Linked DNA regions of Stegostoma tigrinum. The protein of the gene in region 2 interacts with the protein of the main gene of each other region in a pairwise test. Links are inferred from orthologs where the notes say so. Each region holds a gene or a part of one and is shown on either strand. Other genes may lie near its edges. The genes, in order: zrsr2, srrm4 and srsf11.

Region 1 (10,800 bases), on a different chromosome or scaffold from region 2:
TTTGGCCCATATCCCTCTTCAACCCTTCCTATTCATATACCCATCCAGATGCCTTTTAAATGCTGTAATTGTACCAGCCTCCACCACTTCCTCTGGCAGCTCATTCCATACATGCACCACTGCCTACGTGTCGACCCCTCAGGTCCTTTTTAAATCTTTCTCCTTTCACTTTAAATCTGTGTCCTATAGTTTTGCACTCTACACTGGAAAAAGGACCTTGGCTATTCATGCTATCCATGCCCCTCATGATTTTATAAACCTCTATAAGGTCACCCCTCAGTCTCCGACACTCCAGGGAAAAAAGCCCCAACCTATTCAGCCACTTCCGGTAGCTCAAACCCTCCAATTCAGGGAACATCCTTGTAAATCTTTTCTGTACCCTCTCAAGTTTAACAATATCCTTCCTATAGAAGGGCAATCACAATTATATGAAGTATTCCAGAAATGGCTTCAATGACCTGTACAGCTGCAACATGACTTCCCAACTCCTATTCTCAATGTTCTGACCAATGAAGGCAAGCTTGCCAAACACCTTCTTCATCACCCTGTCTACCATGTGTGGCTCAGTGGCTAGCACTGCTGCCTCACTGCACCAGGGACCCAGGTTCAAATCTATCCTTGGTTGACTGTGCAAACTCCACACAGACATTCTCCCTATGTCTGCATGGGTTTCTTCTGGGTGCTCCAGTTTCCTGCCACAGTTCAAACATGTGCAGTTCAGGTGAATTGCCCATGTTATATTGTCCATAGTGTCTAGGGATGTGCAGGCTAGGTGGGTTAGCCATGGGTATGCAGGGTTTCAGGTGGGTAGGGGATTGGGTCTGGATTGGATACCTTCGGAAGATCATTGTGGACTCAACGAGCCAAATGGCCCGTTTCCACTATGTAAGGTCCTTCAAGACTGTACACCTGCACCCCTGGGTCTCTCTTCAGCAACGCTCCTTCGGGCCTTATCATTTAAGTGTATAAGTCCTGCCCTGGTATGCCTCACATTTAACTAAATTAAATGCCATCTGCCACTACTCAGCCCATTGGCCCATCAAGGTCCTATAGTACTGTGAAATAACCTTCTTCATTGTCCATTACACCTCCTGTTTTGGTGTCAGCTCAAACTTACTGATCATTCCTGCTTGCATTCACATCTAAATCATTTATATAAATGATGAAAAGCAGTGGGTTCAGCATCGATCCTTGTGACTAACTGCTGGTCATAGCCTCCAATCTGAAAAACAATCCTTCAAGCCAATTTTGTATCCAATTGGCTAGCATTCCCAGATCCCACGTGAGCTAACCTTACTAACTAGCCTATGTAGAACCTTATCAAACGCTTTGCTGAACTCCATATAGACAATGTCTACAGCTCCGCTTTCATCAATTTCTTTGTCTTCAAAAGACCCAGTCAGCAATACAAAACAGGAGTGCTAATAGCTGAACATTAATACAGGAGATACGTGTCCAGGTTTGGTCTCTATATCCAAAGAGTCACTGGCACATCAGAAAAGGGACACAGAAATTAACATTACAATATATTAAAAACAATCAAACCCAAATCAACCAATTGAGTTTACTTACTCCTCAGGAACTACAGCAATCCACATCACTGACAGTTCAACTATTTCCATTTGATTTAAAAGAGGAGAAACTTGTTTTAAAACTATAACATTTAAAGATTTAACATTTAAATAACATGGTTTGACAGATGCTTTAAACAGTAGTTGCCAACAATCCTCATTCCAATATGGAATTTGAGACCTTTTTTTGGTAAAGTGAAAGGCTCTTAGATCTCAAGGGTTACTGACCTTTCAGCTTCCAACTCTATTTCTTCTTCCTCAAGGTTTTCTGCTTCTATATCCTCTTCAATAGCCAATTCTGAAACAGAATTAAAATAATACCACAACTGCAGCTGGCAGAAAGAGAAAGTGTATAGAATCTGAATGCATTGGCATTCATCATTTTTAGTGTAGTATATATTAAAGAACTGCTGATATATATTCCCCACGCTTCAAGACCCAATCTCAGCATGATCACTGGAAAACCTACAATATCAGTTAAGAGAGGGAGGGGGAGGAACTCCTGAAAATCTTTTGGGTCAGAATCCTCAAGTGTCCCAAGATGCAAAGGTCTGCAGCAGTTCAAGGCAACAGTACCTTTTCCAGGGCAAATCAGAATGGTCATTAAATGATAGCCAGTGATGTCTACATTCCATGAACAAAGAAAAAAATTGTCATAAACAGCACTCAATCCTAAAATAACACTAACTATATTTTCTACTGTTTAGCCCTAGCATTCTCTCTAACTGTTCCAGAACATAAGGTCCATGTTCACCTTGTACTGGTCTCTCCGATTCTCTCCTATTGCCCAGCAACATCTCCCAGTTTCTCAGTCCTACCTGACTCCTTTACCAGCCCAAACCCATATCAGATGCCCCCCACCCCCCCGACACCCACAACACCTTTCCAGACCGTCTCACCCGCTACTGGACCCCTGCCAAGGTCCTCCCTCTCCCCTCCAGGGCTCCAACACGCTACTCCCACTCTGGTTCTAGGAAGTGTTCCGCACCCACCGCCTCCCAATCTCTGGTCTCCCACCCACCTTGGGCTCCTTCCTTGTCCCAGGTCCCCCTCTCCCAACGACTCCTTAGTCACCCATGAGTCCCACTCTTCCAAGTTCCACCAATAATATGTCCCACCTCCCAGGAACTGCAGGCACCCCACCACCAACATCCCAAATGTGTTGGTCCCACACCTTGGCTACCCCCTTTTCCACCATAATCCTCCACTCCCTGACCTAACCTGGATACCCTCCCTCTTTCCCACCCCTACGATCTTTCCCTGATCTCCCTTCTCCACACCCCACAACCCCAAATTCTCTGGCTTGCCTCCCCTTCTGGCTGGGCTCCTACCTGCCTGCCGCTTTTTGGCCTCTTCCTGTCGCTTCCTCTTCCGCTTCTCCTTCTTCAGCAATGCTCGTGCCTTCCTGTGACTGCAATGACAGAAAGCAACAGGGAGATACAGAAGAGAGAGACAGCAAGTGCGACTGAGTACAAGAGCAAGTGTACATTTTTCTCTCTCACACTATATTTTTCTCCCTCTCTCTTTTACTGACTCAGTACTTTCTCCCTCAGTATATATTTCTCTCGCATTGTGTGCATGAGCCGCACATAATCTGTACATTTCTCTCACACTAAGTATATTTCTTTCACATACAGCATGTTTTCTCAATGCATATTTTCTCACACATATATATTCCTTTCCCTCTCACATACAATGTGTTTCTCCCTCTCACTCTCACCCAATGTTTTTCTCCCTCACATAGTCTATACTTTTCTGTCACACTCTCGATCTATCTTTCTCGCGCATACTCAGTGCTTCTTCCTCTGTCTCACTCTCACAAAGGGTGTATATTTCTCGCGTGTTCATACAATGCACATTCCACTGTCACATGCACACACCGCAGATGTTCCTCTCCCAAGTACAGCATGTACAAATTTCTAGTCGCTCAACTCTCTCTCTCATGCTGACACGTACAAATTTCTAGTCGCTCAACTCTCTCTCTCATGCTGACACACACAAATTTCTAGTCGCTCAACTCTCACTCGCACTGGCACGTACGCACAGCGAGTGCACTTCTCTCTCGCGCTGGCACGTGCGCACAGCGAGTGCACCTCTCTCTCGCGCTGGCACGCGCACACTGTGTACACCTCTCTCTCGCGCTGGCACGCGCACACTGTGTACACCTCTCTCTCGCGCTGGCACGCGCACACTGTGTACACCTCTCTCTCGCGCTGGCACGCGCACACTGTGTACACCTCTCTCTCGCGCTGGCACGCGCACACTGTGTACACCTCTCTCTCGCGCTGGCACGCGCACACTGTGTACACCTCTCTCTCGCGCTGGCACGCGCACACTGTGTACACCTCTCTCTCGCGCTGGCACGCGCACACTGTGTACACCTCTCTCTCGCGCTGGCACGCGCACACTGTGTACACCTCTCTCTCGCGCTGGCACGCGCACACTGTGTACACCTCTCTCTCGCGCTGGCACGCGCACACTGTGTACACCTCTCTCTCGCGCTGGCACGCGCACACTGTGTACACCTCTCTCTCGCGCTGGCACGCGCACACTGTGTACACCTCTCTCTCGCGCTGGCACGCGCACACTGTGTACACCTCTCTCTCGCGCTGGCACGCGCACACTGTGTACACCTCTCTCTCGCGCTGGCACGCGCACACTGTGTACACCTCTCTCTCGCGCTGGCACGCGCACACTGTGTACACCTCTCTCTCGCGCTGGCACGCGCACACTGTGTACACCTCTCTCTCGCGCTGGCACGCGCACACTGTGTACACCTCTCTCTCGCGCTGGCACGCGCACACTGTGTACACTTCTCTCTCGCGCTGGCACGCGCACACTGTGTACACTTCTCACTCGCGCTGGCACGCGCACACTGTGTACACTTCTCACTCGCGCTGGCACGCGCACACTGTGTACACCTCTCTCGCGCTGGCACGCGCACACTGTGTACACTTCTCTCTCGCGCTGGCACGCGCACACTTCTCTCTCGCGCTGGCACGCGCACACTGTGTACACTTCTCTCTCGCGCTGGCACGCGCACACTGTGTACACTTCTCTCTCGCGCTGGCACGCGCACACTGTGTACACTTCTCTCTCGCGCTGGCACGCGCACACTGTGTACACTTCTCTCACACACAGTTACTTCTCTCTCTCTCTCTCCTCGTTCCACCCTACCCCTCCAACACATATACACACACATATATAGTTTATTTTTACTTCTCTCAGACAGTGACCTGCTCCTCAGCTTCTCCTCCCTGGGGGGTGGACACATTCTCCCCATCACACACCCCCCCCCACACACACGCGCGCGCATACATACATACACATAAATACATACATAGACACACAGACACACTCTCCGTCTTTCTGTATATTTATATGATTTATTTCTCCAGACACTGACCTGTTGCCCGCTTTCTTTTCTCCCCCAACCGGGTATATTTCACTCCCCCGCACTCTACATTTACTGATTTAACCTCCCCCCGCCCCACACACGCACATACACCGTGTACTTTTCCTCTCTGACACTGACCTGATCCTCGGAGGCTCCGCCAACATCGCCATTTTGCCGGGAGTCACGTGGGCGCCGCGCGCCTGCGCACTCCCCAGGCGGTTGGAACGGGAGCTGCATTTGGCTAGCGCCTTTCGGTATCTACAGCTACTGGCTTCCTGATCCGGTCTAGCCGCTGCCCCTCTATCCTACCACCCTCACCCTCTTCTTGAGTACAGGGGTTATATTTGCTCCTTTTCCAGTCTACCAGAAAGTTTGCAGAATCGAATGAACTTTGGAAACTCAAACCAATACATTGTCGCATTCTTAGTCAGTTCTCTTACGTCCGTAGGATTAAGTCTAACAAGGACCGTGAGACTTAACAACCGCAATTCAAATCAGTTTGCTCAGTACTGATTCTTCCTCATGGAGCGATAATTTCTATAATCCTAAACTGCAGACAAAGCAAAATATTTATTAACTTTTTCTGTCATTTCTGCATGATCTCCTATTAACACTCCATTCTCACTCTCTCGCACCCCAGCATTCATTTACTCAGAGATAGCAAGAACTGCCGATGCTGGAGACGGGGATAACAAAAGTGTGGAGCTGGAGGGATACAGAGGGCCAGGCAGCACCGAAGTAGCTGGCAAGTTGACGTTTTGGGTTGGGACCCATCGTCAGAAAAGGGCCTGACTCAAAACGTTAACTTTCCTGTTCCCCTAATGTGTTTCTCCAGCTCCATACACTGTTGTCAGCATTCACTTTACTTACTTGTTTACAAAGCACAATACGCCGGAACAGGTCCATCAAGCCTCCGCTGCCACATTTTGTTCTTCCATACTAAAACTGTTTTCATTTACAGGATCTGTATCCATTTATTCCCTTCCTATTCATGTATTCATCCAGGTGCTTTACTTTTAAAAACCTATGGAATATCTTATTTATTTTTTACATTTCTAGCTAGCATCCCCTCATGCTGCGAATTAATAGCCCTAATTAAACTTTTAGTCATTATTTCTAGCTCTTTATATATTGAAGTCATCTGATCCTCCGGTCACCTTTAACAATTCTTCCCCCCTAAGATTAGTGCTTTTCTGAGCCTCGAATTAACCACAGACAGTGGGTGCATGCCATAGCATTTTACTTTAAAACAGGAATGTACTTCTTTGAGTATTCTGAAGTGTCCTATTAAATGTTGCCACTGCTTCTTGCTTGTTCTATCTCCTAGTCTAATATCCCAATTTGCCTCAGCTAGCTCTCAGCTTTCATGCCTAAGTATTTATTTAAGTTTAACATACTCAGCTTAGACAGCCCCCCGCCCCGGCACTTCTCTCTTGAAATTGGGTGTAACATTCACTCATGTTAACACTGCTGGTCACTGAGTCATATAGATCTGCACAGCCTTCATTCCATCTTGTCTGTGGGGGTCAAAAGCAACCACCTAACTATTCTAAATCCGCTTTCCAGTCGTTCACCCATAGCATTGTACACCTTAGCATCGCAAGCATACATCTAAATACTTATTAAATGTTACGAGGATTTCTGCCTCTACCATACTTACAGTGAGTTCCAGATTCCCACTGTCCTCTGCTGAAAAAGCTTTTCCTCACATCTCCTCTAAACCTTCCACCCTTAACTTAAATCTGTGGCCCCTGGTCATTCATCCTTCTATCAAGATGACAAGTTTCTTCCTGCCTCCTCTTTCTATGCCCCTCATAATTTTATACATCTCATTCATGTCCCCTCTCAATCTCCTCTACTCTAAGATAAACAACCCCAGTCTGCCCAAGAGATAGTAAGAGCTGCCGATGCTGGAGTCAGAGATAGCACAGTGTGGAGCTGGAGGAATACAGCAGGCCAGGTAGCATCAGGGGAGCAGGAAAGTAGATGTTTCGGGTCAGGACCCTTCTTCAGAAAACAAAAATTAAAATAGTTAGACGGTTGCTGTTTCTTCCCACAGCCCAAAGTGTGCAGGCTAGGGTGAATTGGCCATGCTAAATTGCTCACAGTGACCAGGGGTGTGTAGGCTAGGTGGATTAGCCATGCAGAATGCAGAGTTCCAGAGATAGGGTGGGTGTGTGGATCTGGGTGGGATGCTGTTCGGAGGGTCGGTGCAAACTTGATGGACCGAATGGCCTGCTTCCATGCTGTAGGGATTCTATGATTAATTCTATGTCATCTACACAGAGAAACTTGCAGGCAGGTCAATGGGTGCACAAATTTCATGTGGTGGGAGTCCATTTGTCTTTTTCCTTCAGACACGAGTCTTGTCACCAACTTGTACTGTGAACTAGCTGTCCCATACTAGCAGTCCCACAGTGCCAGTAACCCAAGGAGGGAGAATTCTTAACATTTTGTCAAATGCACCAATATTTATTGGAAGAGGGCAAGTTGAGAAAAGTCATCACAAGTTAAGCGCACAGCTTCAAGAGTACAGTTTTATTTTGTTTGCACAGGCATGCAAGTGTCAGGAAATGATGTTGAAGCTTTATAAGACTTTGGTTAGGTCACACTTAAAGTATTGTGTTCATTTCTGGTCACCACATTACAGGAATGATGTGGAGGCTTTGGGGAGGGTGCGGAAGAGGTTTACCAGGATGCTGCCTGGATTAGTGGGTATGAGCTAAAAGGAGAGACTGGAAAAACTAGAGATAATGGGAACTGCAGATGCTGGAGAATCCAAGATAACAAAGTGTGAAGCTGGATGAACACAGCAGGCCAAGCAGCATCTCAGGAGCACAAAAGCTGACGTTTTGGGCCTGGACCCTTCATCAGAGAGCTCTTCTGCTTGTCCTGCTGTGTTCATCCAGCTTCACACTGCACAAGCTAGGATTGTTTTCTCTGGAGCAGCAGAGGGTGAGGGGAGACCTGATAGAGGTCTATAAAATTATCAGAGGCATAGATAGGGTTGGCAGACAGAATCTTTTTTCCCCAAGAGTTGAAATGTCTAATACTACAGGGTATGCATTTAAGATGAAGGGAGAAAGTTCAATAGAGGTGTGAGGAGGCAAGATTTTTATGCAGAGAGGGTTAGGTGCTTGGACTGTCCTGGCGGGGGCTTGGTGGAAGTGTTTAAGAGACCATGAATATGCAAGGAATGAAGGGATATGGACCAAGGCCAGGCAGAAGGGATTAGCTTAATTTGGCATCATGTTCGGCACAATATGGTGGGCAGAAGGGCCTGTTCCTGTGCTGCACTGCTCCATGTTTAATGCTGTAGGATGTGCTATTTGCTGTTCCATTCCATGAGTACTGCTCCTGTTCATTGCATTACTTCCATATTGGAAATATCCCTGTCATTCTCTTCCCATTTCAATCTGTGCCTCTCCTGATGCCCTTCTCAACCTTGCTTTCCAGTTTCCTAGCCCTGACCCTACCTTTTGCAATGCGGACATCAAATCTCTGCATCACCATTACCCTCTCAGGATAGTGTGACATGTTGTATATAATTTTCCGTTCGAACAAACTTTCAACCTTCCCCGGTGCATCGCGACAACATTGCTCCTGCCTGTTTGGACTCGCTCTTCCATTGGAAAGGTCCTCCACACACTCCTTTAAACATTATGGCTTTTTAAAAAAAACAATAAGAGCTATTATTCTGCATATGGCTCCAAGCAACGACTGGTCAGGATGTGAGTTTGCTCGCTGAGCTGGAAGGTCAGCTTAAAAGACCCCATACAGACAACAAGCAAAACGAACGTCATTTACAAAATACCTTGCAAGAACTGTGACAAACACTACATTGGACAAACAGGCAGAAAGCTAGCCACCAGGATACATGAACAAAAACCAGCAACAAAAAGACATGACCCACTATCACTCGTATCCTTACATACAGATAAGGAAGGACACCACTTTGATTGGGACAACACATCCATCCTAGGATGAGCCAAACAGAGACATGCATGAGAATTCCTAGAAGCATGGCATTCCAACGGGAACTCCATCAACAAACACATTGATTTGGAGCCCATCTACCACCCGCTAAGAAAAAGAACAGGAAATGACATCACCGACACAGGAAATGACATCACCAACCCAAGGAAACCTAAACAGTTAAATAGAAAGCGGGACATAACACCAGCACTTCACCGGACGCTTACTGATGATGTTACCTAGTATGGTGACGAAACTTCTGAAAATGAACATTCCAGCTCAGTGAACCAGCTTCCACCCGGAACAAAATAAAGACCCACTCTTTTGTGGACCGAGAGGAGGAGAGCATGACTGTTTTGGAGGTGGAAGGAAGACATCAGGTTGGCTGTGCACCCTTGCAACCAGTGGATCTTAATGCTGGCTTCGGCCTAACGCCGGGTCAGGGGAGCAGCCAACCTGCAACGATGGCTGCGGCGAGTGCTTGTGCCCCGGGTCGGGGGTCCGGAACACCATCCGTGTTTCCGTTGAAGAAGGTGGATGAAGGTGCACCTGTGGACCGCACCTTCTTCGTGAAGAGGGTCCTGTTGGACTGTTATGGGTTCACTGCTGCGGACATTTACTGCCTGCAGGATTTCCCCGGAGGAGGTTTTTACGATGTGACCTTCAGGAGTGCCAAGCTTTGCGAGCGCTTCCTGGAGGTTTTCAAGGAGAAAGGAGGTGAGGGCCCCCTCTCTGTACTGACCGCTGTCCCACTGTTCATGATGCCAGCGCAGAGGAGCCGTATGGTGACTGTACACATGTACAACCCGCATGTGCCAGCAGTTGATGTCCTGACCTTCCTTGGAAGGTATGTGAAGGTGGAAGGGGACCTAACCAACATCATGGACCCCTTTGGGATCTGGACCAGTAAGAGGCAGGTCAGGGTGACGCTGAGGACGGGAACATTGTGGCAGGTCAGGTCACGTGGCGGCCGACTGCAAAGCCACCATCTGCAGGAACTGCAGGGAGGAGGGACACCTTGCAAAGGATTGCCCAAAAGAAAAAAGCTGCAACCTTTGCGGGGAAGCGGGCCACTTCTATAGGGCATGCCCGTGGCAGGGGACCACCTATGCCCAGGTTGCCGACAGGGGCAATGTGGGGGAAGCCCCCCTGGAGGAGAGGAAGGCACAAGGCCCTTGCAAGGACCCCCCTAATGTGCAGGAGGGCCAGGTCATGCAGGAGGGACCAGCCCCACAGGACAGACCCGAGGCCAGGAAAGCGCCCCTGCAGGCTCTGCTCCCCCCGACAAACCGGAGTCAATGGAGGAGGCGACAGGTGACCCAGGGGAGTGGACGACGGTCCGGAAGGCGAGGAGGAAGGTGCGCCGGCGAGCCCCAGCACCACAACCGTCAGGCAGGAAGAGGCAGCTACGGGGGTGCTATAAGAGCTCCTCTGACGAGGGGGATTCAGAGGAGGCCTGCTCAAAGCAGAAGCTGAAGATTTCCAGGGAGGAGGAAAGCTGCACCACGCTTCCAGGTGACGGGAGGCGTCCTGAGGCCACGCGCCCCTTGGAGGGCCCCCCGGAACCTTCAGACAGGAAGCAGGAAACAGCGTGTCCCCAGCCTGACCCAGAGCCGGACTCTCCTCCCTCCGTGCCCCCGATGGGGGGATGCCACCCGGAAGGCAGCACGGACGGTTTCCTGAGCCCGGAGAGCGTCCAGCAGTTAGCCTGGGCAATGGGCATGAAGGGACAGATGGAGGGGCTGGACCTTGGACTTGGGGAGGGTACTGCGGTCACTGCCCACAATGGGGTACGAGTTGCGAGCATTAATGTGCGCAGCGTCAAGTCAACCGCGAGATGTGTGTCCACGTTGGCCT
Region 2 (10,695 bases):
GGTCACTGGAAGGAGGGTTAGGTTCCCAGTTGAAGAAGTAGGCATGGAGGTGAAGACGGCGGAAAAACTGCTCTATGTCCGACCGTGACTGGTATTCGTTGATGTGTGGTTGTAGGGGGACAAAGGTGAGTCCCTTGCTCAGGACTGACCGTTCGTCCTCAGTCAGTGGGAGGTCTGGGGGGATGGTGAAGATGCGGCAGGGCTCAGTGTGGCTGTCTTCTCTGGGGTTGCTGGCTGTGGAGGTTGTGGGCGGAGCGATGAGGTCGTCGGCCGTGGGCGGGGTTCCGTCGGCGTCGGCCGTGGGCGGGGTTTCGCCGGCGTCGGCCGTGGGCGGGGTTCCGTCGGCGTCGACCGTGGGCGGGGTTCCGTCGGCGGTTGGAGGATCGGGGTGGGCGGCAGCAGCTGCGGTGAGGGTGGTGTGTCAGGTGTTGTACCTGGACGTGGAGGTGGTGACTGCAGCAGCGGTTCCGGAAGTTCTGTGGCCGGCGGAGGCCGATGTGACGTCATCGGTGGGGTCTCCGGCCGTGTCCTCATGGTCAATGGCGGCGGGTGCATGGTGGGGGAGGGGCAGGGACAGAGTCGGGATTTGGGAGGCGCAGGAATCCTCTTGTGGGTGGCAGGGGCCCGTGAGTTGGTTGTACTTACGATTTTTGGTGTCCAGTAAAGCTGAGTGGAACTGGGTGTTCAGTCTGTGGATCCTGTGGAGGATGAAAAACAGCAGAGGTCCTTTGCAGGTCTGGGAGACGGAGGCTCTGAGCTGGGGCAGGCTGGATTGCAGTGCCTGGAGGTGACGGCGCATGGCTGCGAGTGTCTGTTTCAGGACTCGCAGGGAGAAACGCTTCTGAAGGGTCTGAATATTCTGGGTGTAGAGGTGGTCACGGTTGGGGCCAAATTGGGAAGGCTGAAATGTGGACTGTAGTCCCTTGGGGATGATCTGGTTCCGTAGGCAGGTGCTGAGGAAGGTGATGTGGCTGTGGTACCTGGTTTGCTTCAGGACATGGTCGAGCAGTTTCAAGGCCGAAGAGATTACAAGAGAGTTACAATGGGAGAGAGATTCCCTGAGGTTGGTCCGGAGGGAGGAGGGTAACTTCTTCAGGTTAGGCATCCCTGGAAGAGGCTTCGCAGAGAGGTTAAAATAGTATCAGAGATAATGTGAACTGCAGATGCTGGAGAATTCCAAGATAATAAAATGTGAGGCTGGATGAACACAGCAGGCCAAGCAGCATCTCAGGAGCACAAAAGCTGACGTTTCAGGCCTAGACCCTTCATCAGAGAGGGGGATGTCCTCCTCCTGGACACCACCCCCAAGCCTCCGACCCTCCCTCGACCTCTTCATCTCCAACTGCCGTCGAGACATTAACCACCTCAACCTCTCCACCCCTCTCACCCACTCCAACCTCTCCCCCGCAGAACGGGCAGCCCTCCCCTCCCTCCGCTCCAACCCCAACCTCACCATCAAACCCGCAGACAAGGGTGGCGCAGTGGTAGTATGGCGCACTGACCTCTACATCGCCGAGGCCAGACGCCAACTCTCCGACACCACCTCCTACCGCCTCCTCGATCATGACCCCACACCCGAGCACCAAACCATCATCTCCATTCACGACCTCATCACCTCAGGGGACCTCCCACCCACAGCCTCCACCTCATTGTTCCCCAACCCCGCACGGCCCGTTTCTATCTCCTTCCCAAAATCCACAAACCTGCCTGCCCTGGTCGACCCATCGTCTCAGCCTGCTCCTGCCCCACCGAACTCATCTCCACCTATCTGGACTCCATTTTCTCCCCTTTGGTCCAGGAACTCCCCACCTATGTCCGTGACACCACCCACGCCCTCCACCTCCTCCAGGACTTCCAATTCCCTGGCCCCCAACACCTCATATTCACCATGGACGTCCAGTCCCTGTACACCTGCATTCCGCATGGAGATGGCCTCAAGGCCCTCCGCTTCTTCCTGTCCCGCAGGCCCGACCAGGCCCCCTCCACCGACACTCTCATCCGCCTAGCGGAACTCGTCCTCACACTCAACAACTTCTCTTTTGACTCCTCCCACTTCCTACAGACTAAGGGGGTGGCCATGGGCACCCGCATGGGCCCCAGCTATGCCTGCCTCTTTGTAGGTTACGTGGAACAGTCCCTCTTCCGCACCTACACAGGCCCCAAACCCCACCTCTTCCTCCGGTACATTGATGACTGTATCGGCGCCGCCTCTTGCTCCCCAGAGGAGCTCGAACAGTTCATCCACTTCACCAACACCTTCCACCCCAACCTTCAGTTCACCTGGGCCATCTCCAGCACATCCCTCACCTTCCTGGACCTCTCAGTCTCCATCTCAGGCAACCAGCTTGTAACTGATGTCCATTTCAAGCCCACCGACTCCCACAGCTACCTAGAATACACCTCCTCCCACCCACCCTCCTGCAAAAATTCCATCCCCTATTCCCAATTCCTCCGCCTCCGCCGCATCTGCTCCCACGATAAGACATTCCACTCCCGCACATCCCAGATGTCCAAGTTCTTTAAGGACCGCAACTTTCCCCCCACAGTGATCGAGAACGCCCTTGACTGCGTCTCCCGTATTTCCCGCAACACATCCCTCACACCCCGCCCCCGCCACAACCGCCCTAAGAGGATCCCCCTCGTTCTCACACACCACCCTACCAACCTCCGGATACAACGCATCATCCTCCGACACTTCCGCCATTTACAATCCGACCCCACCACCCAAGACATTTTTCCATCCCCTCCCCTGTCTGCTTTCCGGAGAGACCACTCTCTCCGTGACTTCCTTGTCCGCTCCACACTGCCCTCCAACCCCACCACACCCGGCACCTTCCCCTGCAACCGCAGGAAATGCTACACTTGTCCCCACACCTCCTCCCTCACCCCTATCCCAGGCCCCAAGATGACATTCCACATTAAGCAGAGGTTCACCTGCACATCTGCCAATGTGGTATACTGCATCCACTGTACCCGGTGCGGCTTCCTCTACATTGGGCAAACCAAGCGGAGGCTTGGGGACCACTTTGCAGAACACCTCCGCTCAGTTCGCAACAAACAACTGCACCTCCCAGTCGCAAACCATTTCCACTCCCCCTCCCATTCTCTAGAGGACATGTCCATCATGGGCCTCCTGCACTGATGCCACAATGATGCCACCCGAAGGTTGCAGGAACAGCAACTCATATTCCGCCTGGGAACCCTGCAGCCATATGGTATCAATGTGGACTTCACCAGTTTCAAAATCTCCCCTTCCCCTACTGCATCCCTAAACCAGCCCAGTTCGTCCCCTCCCCACACTGCACCACACAACCAGCCCAGCTCTTCCCCCCCACCCACTGCATCCCAAAACCAGTCCAACCTGTCTCCGCCTCCCTAACCGGTTCTTCCTCTCACCCATCCCTTCCTCCCACCCCAAGCCGCACCCCCAGCCACCTACTAACCTCATCCCACCTCCTTGACCTGTCCGTCTTCCCTGGACTGACCTATCCCCTCCCTACCTCCCCACCTATACCCTTTCCACCTATCTTCTTTACTCTCCATCTTCGGTCCGCCTCCCCCTCTCTCCCTATTTATTCCAGTTCCCTCTCCCCATCCCCCTCTCTGATGAAGGGTCTAGGCCCGAAACGTCAGCTTTTGTGCTCCTGAGATGCTGCTGGGCCTGCTGTGTTCATCCAGCCTCACATTTTATTATCTTGGATTCTCCAGCATCTGCAGTTCCCATTATCTCTGAGCAGGTGTTGCTTGAAAGCAGTGTTGATGACACCTTTCAGTCTTTGAGTCTTTTGACCATTTGGATACATATCAGCAGAATCATTGAGAAGCGTCGATCAGATCTGGGATCTGGGCTAACATTTTCTTGGGCTCAGGCTTATTATCTTTGTTGAAATCAGTTTTGCTACTTCAATTGTTATGAAAATTTCAGTATCACATTTAGCGTCTCTATTAATCTAGGATGAATAAATTTGCCCACTTGTTTCACTTTCTTTCCATCAATTGAAATCATCACCATTATATTTATTGGCTTATGACTAATAAGAGTCAGCAAGTATTCTGATTTTCTTTATGTTCATTTCACGCTAAATTCATTAGGAACATTGTTAACTTCATCCATGTTCCACAGAAATTGATCATTAGTCTCATCCATTAACACAACATATCTAAGTTTCTAATGTAACTTATGCCTTCTGCAATAAATAAAGTCATTCACAAATATAAAAGGGAATTGAGGAGATCCCATTCCATATGGAGAATAGTTTGAATTGTGGAACTTTCTTCTCCAAGAAGCAGTTGAACAGACTAGTTATAGTTTTATTTAAGGGGCAGCTAAATAAATATGAGAAAAATAGGAGTATTGTGGATAGAAAGTGAGGTGAATAGGTGTAGGAGAAGCTCATTTAGAGCAAAATTACCAACATGGACCAGTTAGACAGAATTACCTGTTTCTGTGGCATACATTTTATGTAATATTTTAGTAGCAGTGTTAATATGTTTTGAAGCAAGCAGATTAACAACTCACTGAAAATACATTTTAAACAGGAACAAAGACATTTGGCAATCACAAGAAATAGATATAAGACTCTCAAACCTTATTCCCTTCAGATGCAGCTTTCTGCTGGCAACACGAGCTCCTAACTGTTCAAGTGTCATTATCCCAGTGTCTGCTCAGTGGAATGGGTAATGACAGTGGGCTGTGTGAGGAGGGGGTGCCTGTAATTTAGGTCAAAACACATTCAAATAACAGGGTTATGGATAAAAAAAAGGCAAGCTTTGAGAATAGGAAATACAATTATAACATTTTGCAGACGGGGCAGAAGGAAAATGCAACGCATTCTGTGTCATAATTTATCATGGGAGTGGAAAAGAAGGCTTCATGCAGGAGGTTTTTTTTAATACAAAAGGAATCAGAGTACAATAGTGACATTTCAAGTGAAGGTTAAGAATCATTTGAGGACCTTTTTTGCAGAAGATTTAAAGAGGAAGTAATGTAAAGTAATGGTTTTGGCTCCATTCAAATGGAAAAGAAGATGCTCCAAAGGTTCATTATCCTATAGATGTTAAAAACTGGCAAATCTGTAATCTGAAGATGGTTGCAGAAAATAAACTGGAGATAGGAAGGAAGAAAGATTACCTTGAGGCTTTGTGAAGGCATTAGCAGACACGAAATTAATAAATAAGTAGCATGACAGAGGACGTCAAGTCATAATTAAATGAAATTTGGGAAAATTTGGTGGGGAGTAAAATTCAAAAACTACATCTTGGAGTGCAAAGATAAAGCCTGTGAGATTAAGTAGACTGAAATATGATGTGGAGAATTGTGGTTTATAGTAAGCTGGAGACTGTTAAATATAAAAAAGTAGAATTTAAAGCAACTGCAATCAGGACAGCAATTCACCAAACTAAGAGACAACTAAAGATTAATGAAAATGCACAGCAATAATTTGCAATGTATCTTGTGCTAGGTGTTGCAGGTAACCTGCTAGGCGTTGAGGATAGCACACTAATAGCTCAAGTAAAAAATTAAATTTAGCACTCGGAATATATGTTAGTACCAGCCATAGAATTCAAGAGTTCATTATCCATCGTAGTGAAGAAATACAAAAGCATTTACATAGCTCAGGAAGAATTCTACTCCCAATGCAACTGCCAATTTAAGATTTAATAATTTGATGCATCAAGAGATAACAGATGAATAAGTAAAGGAGTTGTGTGAGAGACAATAGAGACTATATCAGTCCTCCTTGGGTAGAAAAGAAGGGAAAGGATTCATATTCATGACTAATTAACTCCGAAGCATTTTCATCAGATTTCAGCCTGGCTTCAGGCACACTCACACCTTCTGGTCACTTATTCTCACCTGCACTCTGATGCTGATGCCAATTCCATGTTGCTGAATCTCTGAAGGTGTTATCACCCTCATCTTGCTGTCACTTTAATCTTTTTGTCACTCTTATGGTTCTATCTCTCTGGCACTGTAACTCTGGTTGTCTTCCGAAGGATGCTGTCACTTTGATGGTGTTTTTGCTCTGAAGGAGTTGTTGCTCAAAAAGTGTTGTCACTTTGATACGGATTTAATCTCGCAACACGTTGGTACTCGCATATTGCTGACACTCCAAAGTTTCTGTTGCTGTCACATTGCTGACATGCTGATTCTGTTGTCACTTTGATGGTTCAGTCAATGATAGAGTTGTCAATCTGTGGTTTTTATCACTTTGATGGAGTTGTCATTCTGAAGCTCTGACTCATTGACAATGCTGTTCACTCTGAAGCTTTTGCCACTCCTGAGTTGTTGCTCAGACGGTGTTGTCTCTCCGATGGAGCTGTCATTCTGTCAACACTCACTCTGGTACTGTTATTCTGGTGGTGCTTTCACTCTGGAGCTATCACTCTGATGGTGCTGTAATTCCAGTGGAGCTGTTAATCGAAGATGTCACTTTGATGGCACTGTCTCATTTGCCAACAACAAAGCATCGTGATTATTTTACAAACTGGAATAAATTAAATGGATTTTTTTGCTGGGCAAACATAGGAAATATTTGGTAGTCCAAAATGCATAACATCAGAAGTCAGAATAGCTCACCTTGACTGTGTCAGCCTGTTCAAAGATCTATGAAAATGTCCCCTTCCCATTTATTCTGTACAACCCAGCTGATATCCTCTTTTCAAAGGTTTATCGAGTTTTCTGCTGTAAATTACTGTAGAATGTGATGCATGGTGTGTGACATATATATTATTACCATTTATTTTAGAGTTTGGACTTTGAATCAGTGGCATTGGGTTTTGGTCTCTGTATTTGAAAGGGTTTAATGATTAACTTACTACTATTTCTGAAGCAATCATTTTAAAACCTGTTAGAGAGCAGCTGACTGGGACCCACGTAATGTGAAAATGTGAATTTGTGTTTATTATGGAAGTTTTACTAATGGAGAGTGCAAGCATTAAAAGCCATTAGCTTCCTTTTGCTTTAAAAGAATCAAGAAATGATTCTTGATGAGGTAAAACACATGGTTTGGAAAGCTTTGGTTTTAGTCCACAGAATACCTGGCTAGTGTTATATGTTATTTCAGTTTCTCTTGGAGGAAAGAGTCAGTTCAGAAATAGGCTTTTAAAGTCCAGACCAGAAGTGTTTGTTTAGAACGCTGAAGGTGTTATCTGGAGCTAATAAAATGCTTTGCTGTATTTATAATCAAGGAAGAAGCTGACAATTGCTCAAGAATGGGAAATGAAAGAAAGCATCCAAGCTGAAACTATAGCTGTAATAATGAAATTGTTTCTGGTATTTGCAAACTGTAATGTGATGACATTGAAATAGATGCAATTTTGTTTTGCCTTGTGTTTAGAAATATTTCAAATTGTATTGTATGTAAACAGCTTGCTTTGTGTTATTTTTATCTTCATTTCTTTTGCATAATGAACTTCTGTTTTATTGTTGAAACTAAATCTGCATTTTATGTAACTATGTTTCAGTGAAAATAAACACCATGTTAAATAAAAAGAAAAGAAAATCATGATCTCTCAAGCCAGATTTCAGTTTGGGATCTGACTCATCCAACAGTAACACCACTTCTGATCACAACTTGAGAGTAATTGCATCATTCGCCAATCAATTAAATCTGTGTCCTCGGGTCACAAATTCTCTTGGTTTTGAACATAAATGATGGAGCCAGAATTCAAGTGTTTACAGCGTTCCTCTTTTAATATGGAGATAATTTGAAACTAATACATCAGAAATTGAGCAACATAAGCATGACAGAAAAAAATGAGAGGGTTAGCACTGTCAGAGTGACAGCACTCTCAGAACATCAGCTGCATCAAGGTGACAACACCATCAGTGCTGCAGCTCCATTGGAGTGATATCTCCCTCAAACTGATAGGACCATCAGAGAGACAACAATTGGGGTAGTCTTAATCTCAATCCAGATGAATTCTGAATATTTAATTTGCAGGTAGGACAACTGAACTTGTCCAACTTAACTAGTCATACAACAAAATTTTGTGCTTGATTTTCCTTTCAAGACATCAAATGAAATGTTTTTTGGATGGAGCTCAAATGATGATCACATTTGACAGTTGGTGTTTGTTAAGTGCTATTAAAAATGACTCAATGCTATATCAATGCAAGTGTTATCTCTAGTTCAACAAACCTACGAGTTAAATTCTTCATGATTACTGAAGAAAGTGCAATACAAGTTTTACTGGTCTTTTTTATCACTACTTTGCCATTCCCAAATACGGAAAAATCCTGAAGCATTGCTGGTCCACATCTTCACTGATTTGGAGGAGAATATATCAGGAAATACACCATTGTTTGTAAAATAATGACCACAATGTCATAAAATGAATAATTGTATGTTCTGAGTATGATCTTTGAAAGAAACAAGAGACCAATGAGCAAGGCCGCAATTTAACCACACATTGTAGAACGCCTGCAGAAAATTGACTTTGTATATGAAATATTTTTATTCCATTTGTTTTAGTGGGCCTCTACTGTTTGTAGAAAGCCAAATAATGAATTGGCATACTGCAAAATGTCTGCAGGTAAGTATGAATTTCTGCCCTACTCTGTGCATTGTGCATGATGCTGACGGTTCAAAAATTAGGCTTAAATCCAACTGTGCTGAGCGACCCAATTAATGTATGAATTTCTGAGAGGAGATTTTTTTGAAGGATGCTGCAGCTCAGAATTACCCAGATCAGAGCAACTTTGAAGCTCCTATTGACAAATTGTGTGTTTAGCTTCAGGTTTAATGGTATGGGTTTTCGGTGCTTTTGAAAAGGACATCTACACAGGTGTTGTATTCACTTCCTCTTAATAGAAAAAATCAACCCCTTATAGATGCTGAACAAATAAAATTTGGCAAAAAATATACTACATAACATGGCCCTTCATCAGTGGGAGGGGGTGACAGTGCAAAATTGATATTTTAAATAGCAGCACTTGTATGAGAAGGCCTTATTACCTCGAGCAATACAAACAGCAAGAACTAAACAGTTTGGGACATTACCTTGTCCACAACTCAGGATCACTGAGCTGTTGTTGCTAAGTAACTAATGAGTCAAAATCGCAGCCAGCAATCTTCTTGCTCACATAAAATGTTGTCTGTGCTGTTTGAACACTGTTTAAAGCATTTGTTAACCATTTAATCTAAATGGATAAACAAATATCTGAGCATTGCTTGCAGGGGAATCACATAAAAATGCGATAACTCAGTGGCTAAAATATCACTGAAGGTGGTTTATATCCTGCCTAAATCCTGCAGGCCCCCTCCAATATAGGGACCTTCTCTAGCATTCTGATTAATCTTTAATAATTACATTTTAAATTACATATAATATCCTATACATACATAGGCCACCTAACCTAACAACACCATGCCAACATTTATCCCTCTTCATAACTACACCTGCAAAAATCTCAATTCCCTTTCCCCTTGTCAGTAAAGGTGAACCTTCATTACATCATCATCCCGACTCTCATCAACTGCTTCCTGTAGGAAGCAGCTACACATTTGCACAGTCCTTTGGGCCTAGAAGTTTCTCTTGAAATCTCTATTTGATTTCAAGGTTGCTAGTAGGTGTTTATTGATTTTTTTTTCTCTTCTCCACAAGTGGGTCACCATATCCTTTTGTAGCCATTCATTCAAGACATCTCTCTATGATTTCAAGGGAAATATCCATTATCCATTTTCCCTCTTTTATGTACAAACTCTTTTGGCAGTCTTGACTGAGTATTTTCTCAAATACAAAGCAGAGCTCAGCTCTTACCTGGAATGAGAAATAAAGGCTATCTATCTATGTTATGTGTAAGAATCTTATGCAGATGAGAACGACTATTTCAGTCCAGTTCTTGAAGTAAGGATATTGGGCCCATTCTATGGTTCGATTTGGAAAAATAGCAAATGCAAGGCTAGTGTAACCCACATTGTGCAGGTTACAGGCCATGTTAAATGTTGTAATGGGAGACTGGCATGTCAACCTCACTCCCCATTCCTCCCACCACACACCATCACCATGTCTGATTTGAATAGGTCGCTTTGCATCTAATGACTGCCTGGGAAGCTTGACATACATCATTCTTGGGGGGAAAAAATGGGTGCAGACACAAAATCTGGCAACAAAACAACCTGTAAAGAGTTGCCATTGACCAGTAAAAGGAACATTGTGCTATTGCTGGGAGGGTAGAAAGGAGGATGGACATGTTCACAAGAATACTCAGCTCCTTTTGAAATAGAAGAATGAAGGGTGCAAGTTATATGGGGGCATGGTCACCAACTAAATCAAAGCAATCCTCCAACGTTCTTGCAATGAAATGCAAATAAGGAATGTTTGCAAAAGCATTTTTTGCAAACAGCATTTCATGTTTTAAAGCTGAATACTCTATTTTTCTTACAAGTGAAGATGGCAACAGATGTTCAAGCTTTTAGAGTAATGTAGCTGACTGTTAGAGGTTTCACAATGAAGTTCACGACCATAGCTGCCAAAATCTTGCCATGGTGCGCTATGAGTCATCCTCATATATTTGCTCCCCTGCATTGGAGGTGGATTCTGAACCTAGAGAAGGCATCATGCTTATTTTAGACAATAAAAAGTTCAATGATGTCTCAATGTCAGTAAACAACTAAGTAGGAATTGAGTGCAAACCTATTTTGTTTATGCAAAGCCTGGAGCTGATATGAGGAGCCATGATGCTCACAT
Region 3 (11,240 bases), on a different chromosome or scaffold from region 2:
TCTCAATGCTCGAGAGAGGGCACTGATAATGGGGAACCTATTTTGCCCTGGATTTGCAGGATATTGTGCAGGCATCATCAATAAAATTTCTTTAGAGATTTTCTGTCTATTTTACAACGTCTCCTAGATATTCCGAAGGACAGATTACATTGCTGCCCTGTACACCATGAGCTTGGTGCTAAATCTGTGAAATCTTTATCAGATCACAGATTTACAAGTGTAGAATTTCTTATTAATGCCTGACCTCACTGACAAGCAAATAGTCTCTACTAAAAACACACAATCAGAACTCCATCCTAATGTGAGTTCTATAAGACTACCTCACTTGACAAGGAGTCCAGAGATCATTTGTTAGGCAACACTGACACCATAGCTTTAATCTCACGTAGGTATACAAAGGCATGTTAAGGTGCCCTGCAAAATCACTTACATCAAAGTCTGATGTCATGAAGGAAGGCTATTTTGTGTGCGCGCGCACGCATGTCAACAGCACATGGAATACTTCCCAGAAGTAAATGACATTTCACAGAGCTAGTTACAAGAAAACAAGAAGTAACATCAGTACATGGTCATCCTTAAAGGCCAATCAAAACTAAGTTATGTTTCACTTGGCACTGAGCGCAATATTAATTGACCATGCAGATGGGCTGTGGTTTGGAAACAGTTAATAAGTACCAGCTTCCACTAAGCAAACCGCATGCTGAGTTTTAAACCTGCAGAGATGTCCGAGAGACTAATCCCCTTTACACTTGCACTGCTGTTTACTGAGCCATTCAGTACACTGCAGTATTACATTAACGCAGGATTGTTTATCCTAACTATTAACGTGCTCTTTCAAGTCTTAAGGCATCCCAAAACATTATATAATGAAGGAACTGCTTCTGAAATATAATGTTGTGTTTTAAGTGTATAATTAGTTCTGATAGGAGAATGAGAAATGTTAAACTTGTCAGATTAATGATTTCATTATATACAATTATAAAAAAGTATTGGGTTGCAGGTACTTACATTTAGAAAGGAGACCACAAGAGAAATTTGAAATTTATGTACCAGGCTATTATAATCTAAACAGTGCAGCTGGAAAACAAAGCAGCAATTTAAGCACCGGGGCAGGTGGCATTCGTGTCCAAAGACTTAATATTCAAAAAGGAATTCAAACACCACCTTTTAACAAGTAAAACTACGCCACAAGATTTCAATTAAAAAAATACATATATTGAACAAATTAAACAGAAGTACAATTAGATTATCAGTATAGCTTAGTTTATATTGTACACAGGTCTGCATTTCACTTGCCTCAAGCTTTCTTACAAGGCAATCTTAAAATTATTTACTGCCATCAAGACCAAAGTCATTCTTAGCTCCAGCAATTCTGAGGTAAAACTTGCCCTGTTCTCTCTTGACCATGGAAGCCCAAGTCCCTTTTTTAGCTACTTTTCCAACACTCCAAGGTAATCCACTTACTTTTGCAATAAGACAATGAGGCCAACTGAATTTCCGCACTAGCTTCAAACGAGGTAATCTTTCACCTTCTGTTCAAGATTCAAACTGAAATTAAGCTTCATTCACCTTTGCATATGACCAATAATGAAGCTCATATTTTTCTCTGCCTCAAGTGTAAGCCAAAGCAAATGCTGTGTGCCAACTTCTAAGCTGCAAGCCATATCACCAGCTAAAAATCTCTCCCAGTAAATATCCAGAAAAACTGAAATCAGAACACTTTCCTAAGCTCCACCTAACCTCACGAAATAGCCTCCAAATCCACCTCTACATTAATTCTCCATCATTCACTTTTTTTTTTGACCTGAAGTAATGACTGTATTTTACACAACTCCTTGAAACTAAACTGCTTCTAACTCAAAATATTTTAGCAGCTCTCTGGACTCTGTCTGCAAGTGATTCCCCAATTTACTAAGCTCACCTGCTATTTTATAGCGCACTCTCTTCTATTATGAACTAGCATTTCTCCAGGTGTTCTGGCAAAGCCCAGCATTTTAATTATCTGGTCTTTATGGAGTGGAAGGGGAGAAGTCTGGGAAACCGGAGGAAAGCAGAGAAAGATATTATTAAAAATAAACACAAAAAGATTAAACTTAAAAAAAAAACTTATGTACAAGGGGAGAAAATAGTAGATAGACCTGGGCAATTCATTCCACAGTTCCATTAGAACCAGGAGGCCTGTTTATAATTACCAGACAACTGTTTACACAAGTTGATATCAACTGTATATCATGCAGTTTTAAATTGTAAATGTCAATCATACTTGAATTGTGTCAGCAGGATATTATGCTTGTGGACAGACTGCCACTCCTGCCATGGAATTACATATAAACTATTTTCAACAGAGATTATATTCACAGCCTCTTATTTTACACTAAGTTCAAACTCAAAACCCTGATCCCATCTAAGATTTTGTCTCTTGTGCCAACATCGGAATCAAGACTTAAGTATAATGTGAACATCTGAACTAGGAAGTTAACTCTCCACCATTCAATAAGAGTTTGGTTGGTTGATTTACTCAAAATTCACACTTATCCCTATAACCTTTCATACTTTACTCATCTGAAATCTAATCAACATTTGTCTTAAAAACATTCAAAATACTCTGCTTCTAATACCTTTTGAGGAAATGTCCCAAGACTCTTTGTAGGAAGAAAATCTTCCTGTCTTTAAAAGATTAATCCCTTATTTTTAAAGCATTGACACTTAGCTCTCTCACACAAGAGGAAATATGCTTTCCACATATATCCTGCCGAGACACCCCTGAATCTTGTGGTCCAATCTTGTCACTTATACCATCTCAGAACTATGGAATACCCTATTCTTCTTTCCAAATCATCTAGACACTGGACTAAATATTAGCATCATTTTACGAGCAGTGATAATTTATTCTTCCCTGCAGTGCTGTCCTCTGGACTCTGGTTAAGTCATCTTTGTTCATAAAAAAAACTTCCAGAAAACCATTATCCAGCAAGTAACTGTTGAGCATAAAAAAGCATTAGTTAATAAGTTAGCTGATTTATGAAGGGATAAGAGGTATACCTCTGATATCAAAAATTAGGAAGTAGCTATGATAAATCAGTCACCAAGTTTAACAAAAATAATATTTGAAACTATCTTTATGCATAACAACCTCAAAAATTTTTAAGTCAATCCGTACCCAAATTCTTCGGGTTTAAGGTTGTTTGCTTGCTCGCTGATCTGGCTAGTTATGACAAAGACGTTTCAACGCCATGCTAGGTAACACCAGTGCGGCCTCCAATGAAGCAATGTTGTTCTACTCCGTTTGGTATTTTTACTATCTGGTCTGTTAAGCTGGTGTGAGTCACTTCCGGTTCTGTTCTGCATCGGTTTGTATGTGGGGTCTAATGTCACACGTTTTTGATTGCATAAGGGTGTATAAACATCAGCTAGTAGCAAAACGACACGACGAACTGTCCCTCGTCTCGGCACTCAGACAATAAAGGCCATCAATTTAACTGGGACAGTGTGACCATCGTAGCTCAAGCCAGCCACAGATACACACGGGGAATCCTAGAGGCCTGGTTTTCAATCCATAACGCAATCAACAAACATGTGGAATTAGACCTAATATACAAACCCATGCAGAACATAACTGGAAATGACACAGCCCAACTTAACAGACCGGATCACATTAATACCAAGTGGAGCAGAACAAGGCGGCTGGCATTTCGGGCCTAGACCCTTCATCAGAAACGTAACATGTCAGCCTTCCTGCTCTTAAGATGCTGCTTGACCTGCGGTGTTCATCCAGCTCCACACCTTGTTATCTTGGATTCTCCAGCATTTGCAGTTCCTATTATCTCGGAGTAGAACATCATCATTTCATCGGAGGCCGCACTGATGACGTTAAGTAGCACAGTGACGAAATTTCTGAACAACAACCAACCCAGCAAGCAAGCCAACAACTTCATCCACAACCCAAGCTACAAATCTTCACGAGCTTTAAATCTTCAGGTTTAAAGCATGTACATCTTTGCCTAAGGAAACAAACAGAAAATACCTGAAAAGATAATTAAGCAACGTAATTAAAATGTTACAGGGAACTGTTCACCGTGCCAATAATGCCACTTTAACAACCAAGTCTCAGGAGAGAACAAATCATAAATATATACAAGTATTATAAATAAACACTGTACAAATATAATGATTCAGAGTCTCAAGCAATATTCGAAAAAGGATAAAATGTTTAATGTTCAGAATCATCCTTCTCTAACGTAATATGCATTTACCGATGTGCGTTCCTTTCAAAAGATGTTGTCAAGTCTTGACAACAATAAAATCAGTTATAATTTTCTCACTTTTAAAAATAAAAACCGACTCATCCAGCATCTGCAGTTTCCATTATCTCTCATTTTTTAATTCCGTCTGTTTTTCGGCCGAAATTACAAATTGAGTCAATGGCTAACGGCTTTTGTAAGACCATGAAAATTTCACTTTACTTGTGTTGTCATACGCCCATTTCTCCTTCAGTAGCCTATTTACTTCCCCACACTTAAGAAACACGAGGTGTAGGCCGTACGACACTTGAAGTCTGCTTCTGAACTGCTCGCGCTTTTCTTTTCCTCACAAAATGTAGCCAATTTTATTCAAAACACTGTTTAACACATTTAATAATGATTAGTAGTAAGTTCACAACATCATTGAACAATAACGATCGAAAACAAGGATCGTCTGACAGGATTGACGAAAGGTGTTACATTGGCGGCCATTTTGCTTTACCCCGGTAATAATAAATCCTCCAAAGCTTGGGTACCTTCAAATAAACATCTTTCAAATAAGAACATTCTCGTTTCATTTTTTTTATTCAAAGAACACCGTCGATATGAATCCTGATAAAAACAGCTTGGAACATGTGGTGGGAATAAAGGAGATGACGCGTATGAGATGGCAGCGAGTCCAAACGCCACACAATAGAGGAGAAAAATTGCTACTTCGTAATCGTTTACGAGGAAAGGAAGAAAAAAGTGAATACTTTCACTCAAGGATTATATCAAGTCGTACGCTCATAAAACGTACGCCCAACAGAAATTTACTTTCACTCAAAAAGGAAAAGTCTTAAAAGCGGATCCGACGCGGGCTAGGCCCCAGGCCTGTCTGGAAGTTTGGAGTTACTCACTCTGATGGGAAGAGCCGCAACTCGTCGATTTTGCCCAGAAACCCGAACAGAGTTTTCATCTGCTCCGAGGTGGCGCTCGGCGACACATTGGTCACTTGAATGACGTCTGTAGCCATCTCGCGTTTTTAAATAAAGGTTTTATTTTTTTTAAAGTAATTACTTTCTCGATCCAATTTTTTCAACGACGTTTTCTTGAACCTAAGACATTAAGAATACAGAAGAAAATAAACTATATATGACAATTCACAGATAATTTAATCGGCACTGCAAACTCCCGGGTCTTCGCCCCGAAACCTTCAACAACAACGGGCAGGCTCCGCGGTATCCCACAATCCGGCGCGATTCAACGCGCAAGCGCAGCACGATCCTTCCTTCCCCTGGCGGCGGGCGGACGGAAGTGAATATCTTTCTGCCTAAAAATCCGGCCTAAGCGACTACCATTTTCAGGAGATTTCGGAGCATTTACCATCACAAAAGAAATGCAAAGTAAATAACATTTCTGACTTGGAACATCTGTGGAGAGAAGCAGAGTCAATATTTCTCAGATGTTACCAGACCTGCTGAGTGTCTCCAGCAATATTTATTTTGTTTCGGATTTCCAGCATCCACAGTTCTTTGTTTTATACCAACATTACTGCCTTTACGGTCTTTCTATTTATCAACAAAAGAAGTCAAGTTTTCTTCCTCTTCAGTGCCTGTCATTTTCAGTTTCTTGGTGCAGTGCTTTTCCCACAACAAATGCTTCAGAGATTTGAAATATATTCCCAGAGGATTTAGAAAGTGTGGAGCTGGATGAACACAGCAGGCCAAGCAGCATCTCAGGAGCACCTTGTGTTCCTGACATGCTGCTTGGCCTGCTGTGTTCATCCAGCTCCACACTTTGTTATCTTGGATTCTCCAGCATCTGCAGTTCCCATTATCACTGATATAAATAGAAAGTGTTGTGAACAGTAAGACAGGCTGCATCTGTGGAGAAAGCACAGTTAATGTTTCAAATTAGTATTTTGTAAAGTGGTGAGAAGCTTCTAACCAAATGCAGCAGCAATGTGGACAACTTTCAACTTTTGTGTAGATAAATAAATGAGCAATGCTCATGCCACACAAGTTCCAAGCAATGCATAAAAGAAAGTTTAACCACTTCCCCATAACATTCAAAGGCATTGCTGAATCCTGCTCTATGAACATCTGTGTGTAACCCTTGACCATGCAGAAACTTGGAACAACCACCATATATAGTAGGGGAATGGAACACTTTCCCTGCAATGGTAGTAGATTCGCCAACTTTAGGTACATTTAAGTCGTCATTGGATAAGCATATGGACATACATGGAATAGTGTAGGTTAGATGGGCTTCAGATCGGTATGACAGGTTGGCACAACATCGAGGGCTGAAGGGCATGTACTGTGCTGTAATGTTCTATGTTCTATGTTCTATCATGCCACAAGTCCAGGTCAGAAGCTGAGAATTCTGCAACAACTTACTCATCCCCTAACTCAACAAAGCTTTTCACTATTTACAGAGCACAAACCAGGAATGTGATGCATTACTTTTCACTTGCCTGAATAAGTACAATTCCTTCTGTTCAAGATCTAGGGCAAGGTGAATTGCACCATATCTACCACTTCAAACATTTAGCTGGAGTGTGTACATTTTAGAGATGCACTACAAACATTTTTCAATGCTACTTCCACAGCACCTTCCAATTCGGGACTTACACCACCCAAGACAACAAGGGCACCAACAAGGACATGGAACACTAGTCATGTACCATTTTGACTTGGAAATTTATCACAGTTCCTTCAACATCCCTCCTTAGGAAATGTTTCAATTACCTGAGTCCCCTTCAATCCCAATATTCTTTCTGAGAATCAATGAATCAAACTGAGTACTTGATAATTTCAAAATTATATATCTCTCGTTTTCAATGGAATGACACAGTATTTTTTTCTCCACTTAATATCATTACCACCTGCAAATATTAAAGTTGAAGCTTGAAACAATAATATTTTGGGGGGCAACCTAAATAAAAAATGTCAATGTCTCTTTAATGAGGTAAAAAGCTATTTTCGAACCATTAATGGGAAAACCTACGTAAAGAAGCTTAATGTGTAGGTATAACAGGCAATTATCAGGAAAAAGAATGAAACATTTTTCACATGATGGTCAAACCTAGATGAATTCCAGCTTTAAAAAAGCTGCTATATGGTAGTTCTAATGAGGAGGAGGTCTTAGAAATTGATAATATTGAAAAACTAAGTATGTTTTTAGTTCAGAGACAGAATAAGAAACAGATGTCACATGCATTTTCTTTTGTTTCCAATTTCTTTGTGTAAATGTAAGTTATTAAATCATATATTCTCTCTCCAAGTTCAGTTTGACAGCTGTCTGCTGAAAGCTACTGAATAAGCTTGCAAAAGTATTCAGCAGAGAACACTTTCAACAATCTAAAGGATTCCTCTGCTACTAGGAAGTGAGACAGTTGTTAAATACATAGAACGCCATCAAAAACTGCCAGCAGCCTTTGCAGGGATTGGGGTACAATTCTAGCCTTCGGTGACTGTGTGAAGTTTGCATATTCTCCCCACGTCTGTGTGAGTTTCCTCCCACAGTCCATAGATGTGAAGGTTAGGTGGATTGGCCATGCTAAAACTGTCCGTAGTGTCCAGAGATGTGCAGGATCAGCCATGGTAGATGTGGAGTTATGGGGATGCGGTAGGTGGCTGAGTCTGGGTAGGATGCTCCTCAGATGCAGATTTGATGGGCAGAATGGCATCCTTCTGTAGGGATTCTATGATTCTATAAACATGAGTATTTCCATTATCATTTGTGACATAGTAGTACATTTTTATTTTAATATACAATCTTCACAAAATACTAATGCATTTTCTTTTTTAATATTGTATTTGCCGATTTAACTTTTTAGTATGTTACTGTATTCAGTTTTGCTGCAAAATGTCAAAATTATCATCAAATCCCTCCAGTGTGGAAACAGGCCCTTCAGCCCAACAAGTCCACACCCCTAATCTACACATTCTTGAACATAATGGGCAATTTAGCATAACCAATCCACCTATCCTGCACATCTTTGGAGTGAGGGAGAAGACCCACACAGGTATGGGGAGAATGTGTAAACTCCACACAGCTAGTCACCTGAGGGTAGAATTGAACCTGGGTCCCTGGTGCTGCGTAGCAGCAGTGCTAACCTCTGAGCCATTATGCTGCAAGTAAATTTTGTTACGCCATACATCAGTCTTGTGTTTGTTGCTTTTGTTCACTTTATAGACATTCTCAATCTCAGTGTTGGTTCACTGGGTTCAAATATCACTTTAGTGACTTGAACGCAAAGTGTAGTCAACCACTCCACTGTAGCACTGAGGGAGTGTTAAAATATCATAGATATTTTTGTACGCATAACATGTTAAACTGAGACCTTGCATGTCCACTTGTGCTTGTAGAAGCTTGTATGTTTCTGTTTATATTGCAGGTAAATCTCCTGTTACTTTCATTGCTGCTTCCCATTCTTATCCATGATGTCAATGTGCTTCAGACTGATGCCAACAGTAAGAAGTTGATTCAAATAAAAGCAAAATACAGTGCATGCTGGAACTCTGAAACCAGCACAGAATACTGGAGAACACAGCAGGTTGAGCAGCATCCACAGAGGGAGAAAGAAATTTAATATTTTGAGCCTGGTATGACTTCAGAAGAAGAGACATTTCAGACTCAAATATTAACACTGTTTCTCTTTTCACAAAGGAGTTGATTCCCCTTCCAAGATAACAAACTGTGTGGCTGGATGAACACAGCAGGCCAAGCAGCATCTTAGGAGCACAAAAGCTGACGTTTCGAGCCTGGGCCCTTCATCAGAAAAGGGGATGGGGAGAGGATTCTGAAATAAATAGCAAGAGAGGGAGAGGTGGACTGAAGATGGAGAGAGGAGAAGATAGGTGGAGAGGAGAGTATGGGTGGGGAAGTAGGGAGGGGATAGGTCAGTCCGGGGAGGACGGACAGGTCAAGGGGGCGGGATGAGGTTAGTAGGTAGGAAATGGAGACGCGGCTTGAGGTGGACGGAGGTGATAGGTGAGAGGAAGAACAGGTTAGGCAGGCTGGGACGAGCTGGGCTGGTTTTGGGATGCAGTGGGGGGAGGAGAGATTTTGAAGCTGGTGAAATCCACATTGATACCATTGGGCTGCAGGGTTCCCCAGTGGAATATGAGTTGCTGTTCCTGCAACCTACGGGTGACATCATTATGGCACTGCAGGAGGCCCAGGATGGACATGTCGTCTAAGGAATGGGAGGGGGAGTTGAAATGGTTCGCGACTGGGAGGGGCAGTTGTTTACTGTGAACCGAGTGTAGGTGTTCTGCAAAGCGGTCCCCAAGCCTCAGCTTGGTTTCCCCGATGTAGAGGTAGCCACACCGTGTACAGCAGATGCAATATACTACATTGGCGGATGTGCAGGTGAACATCTGTTTGATATGGAAAGTCATCTTGGGGCCTGGGATGGGGGTGAGGGGACAGGTGTAGCACTTCCTGCAGGTGCAGGGGAAAGTGCCAGGTGTGGTACGGTTGGAGGGGAGTGTGGAGCGGACAAGGGAGTTACGGAAAAAGTGGTCTCTCCAGAAGGATGGGGAAGGAAAAATGTCTTTGTAGATGGATTGTAGATGGCGGAAGTATCGGAGGATGATGAGATCCCCTCACAGTGGTCAAGAACCCCTCGACCGTGTCTCCCGCACCTTATCCCTTCATACCCCGCCCTCACAATAACCGCCGCAAGAGAATCCCCCTAGTCCACACATACCACCCTACCAAGCTCCGGATACAACGCATGATCCTCCGACACTTCCGCCATCTACAATCTGACCCCACTAGCAAAGACATTTTTCCCACCTCACCCTTGTCTGCCTTCCGGAGAGACCACTCTCTCCGCGACAGCCTTGTCCACCCCACATTTCCCTCCAACCCCACCACATCCGGCACTTTCCTCTGCACCCACAGCAAGTGCTACACCTGCCCCCACACCACCTCCCTTACCCCCATCCCAGGCCCCAAGATGACTTTGCACATCAAGCAGATGTTCACCTGCACATCTGCCAATGTAGTATACGGCATCCGCTGTACACGGTGTGGCTTCTTCTACGTTGGGGAAACCAAGCTGAGGCTTGGGGACCGCTTTGCAGAACACCTACGCTCGGTTCACAGTAAACAACTGCACCTCCCAGTCGCAAACCATTTCAACTCCACCTCCCATTCCTTAGACGACATGTCCATCCTGGGCCTCCTGCAGTGCCATAATGATGCCACACGTAGGTTGCAGGAACGGCAACTCATATTCTGCTTGGGAACCCTGCAGCCCAATGGTATCAATGTGGATTTCACGAGCTTCAAAATCTCTCCTTCCCCCACTACATCCCAAAACCAGCCCAGCTCATCCCAGCCTGCCTAACCTGTTCTTCCTCTCACCTATCCCCTCCTCCCACCTCAAGCCGCACATCCATTTCCCACCTACTGACTTCATCCCACCACCCCTTGACCTGTTCGTCCTCGCCATACTGACCTATCCCCTCCCTATCTCCCCACCCATATTCTCCTCTCCACCTATCTTCTCCTCTATCCATCTTCAGTCTGCCTCCCCCTCTCTCCCTATTTATTTCAGAATCCTCTCCCCATCCCCTTTTCTGATGAACGGTCGAGGCCTGAAACGTCAGCTTTTGTGCTCCTAAGATGCTGCTTGGCCTGCTGTGTTCATCCAGCTCCACACTTTGTTACCTTGGATTCTCCAGCATCTACAGTTCCCATTATCTCTGATTACCGTTCCAGCTGGGTTCAATTTGGGAGATACATCTTTCCTCTACCCATGGTTGAAAATATGACCTTGTAGGTCTGATCTGCTTTCGGCTAGAGAATTCAAGAATCAGAAAGCTTTTCCATAACCACTTCCTCAAACCACATTATAAATTTGAAAACCCTCTTTCTGGCTCCTTTTATCATGTCTTTACCAATGAAAAGAACCACAACCTGCCCATCTTTTTCCAATAGTTGAATCTTTTCATTTCTGGTAAAATCCTTGTAGTATTTTTCTAAACGTTCTCCACTGTT

Evidence for each region.
Region 1: the proteins of srrm4 (region 2) and zrsr2 interact in binary tests that used the Homo sapiens proteins (3 or more experiments, as listed by UniProt). The link is inferred for Stegostoma tigrinum from reciprocal best matches to the Homo sapiens genes SRRM4 and ZRSR2.
Region 3: the proteins of srrm4 (region 2) and srsf11 interact in binary tests that used the Homo sapiens proteins (3 or more experiments, as listed by UniProt). The link is inferred for Stegostoma tigrinum from reciprocal best matches to the Homo sapiens genes SRRM4 and SRSF11.

What each region holds. Positions count from the first base shown.
Region 1 is NC_081365.1:79,360,230-79,371,029, forward strand, and holds the start of zrsr2 (U2 small nuclear ribonucleoprotein auxiliary factor 35 kDa subunit-related protein 2), read right to left. Parts: upstream 5,151-10,800; 5' UTR 5,139-5,150; coding exon 5,107-5,138; intron 2,983-5,106; coding exon 2,903-2,982; intron 1,870-2,902; coding exon 1,800-1,869; intron 1-1,799. UniProt on the Homo sapiens protein: Pre-mRNA-binding protein required for splicing of both U2- and U12-type introns. Selectively interacts with the 3'-splice site of U2- and U12-type pre-mRNAs and promotes different steps in U2 and U12 intron splicing.
Region 2 is NC_081379.1:35,810,890-35,821,584, reverse strand, and holds the start of srrm4 (serine/arginine repetitive matrix protein 4), read right to left. Parts: upstream 4,608-10,695; 5' UTR 4,589-4,607; intron 1-4,588. UniProt on the Homo sapiens protein: Splicing factor specifically required for neural cell differentiation.
Region 3 is NC_081361.1:52,971,578-52,982,817, reverse strand, and holds the start of srsf11 (serine/arginine-rich splicing factor 11), read right to left. Parts: upstream 5,468-11,240; 5' UTR 5,257-5,467; coding exon 5,141-5,256; exon of another isoform or gene 431-5,140; intron 1-430. UniProt on the Homo sapiens protein: May function in pre-mRNA splicing.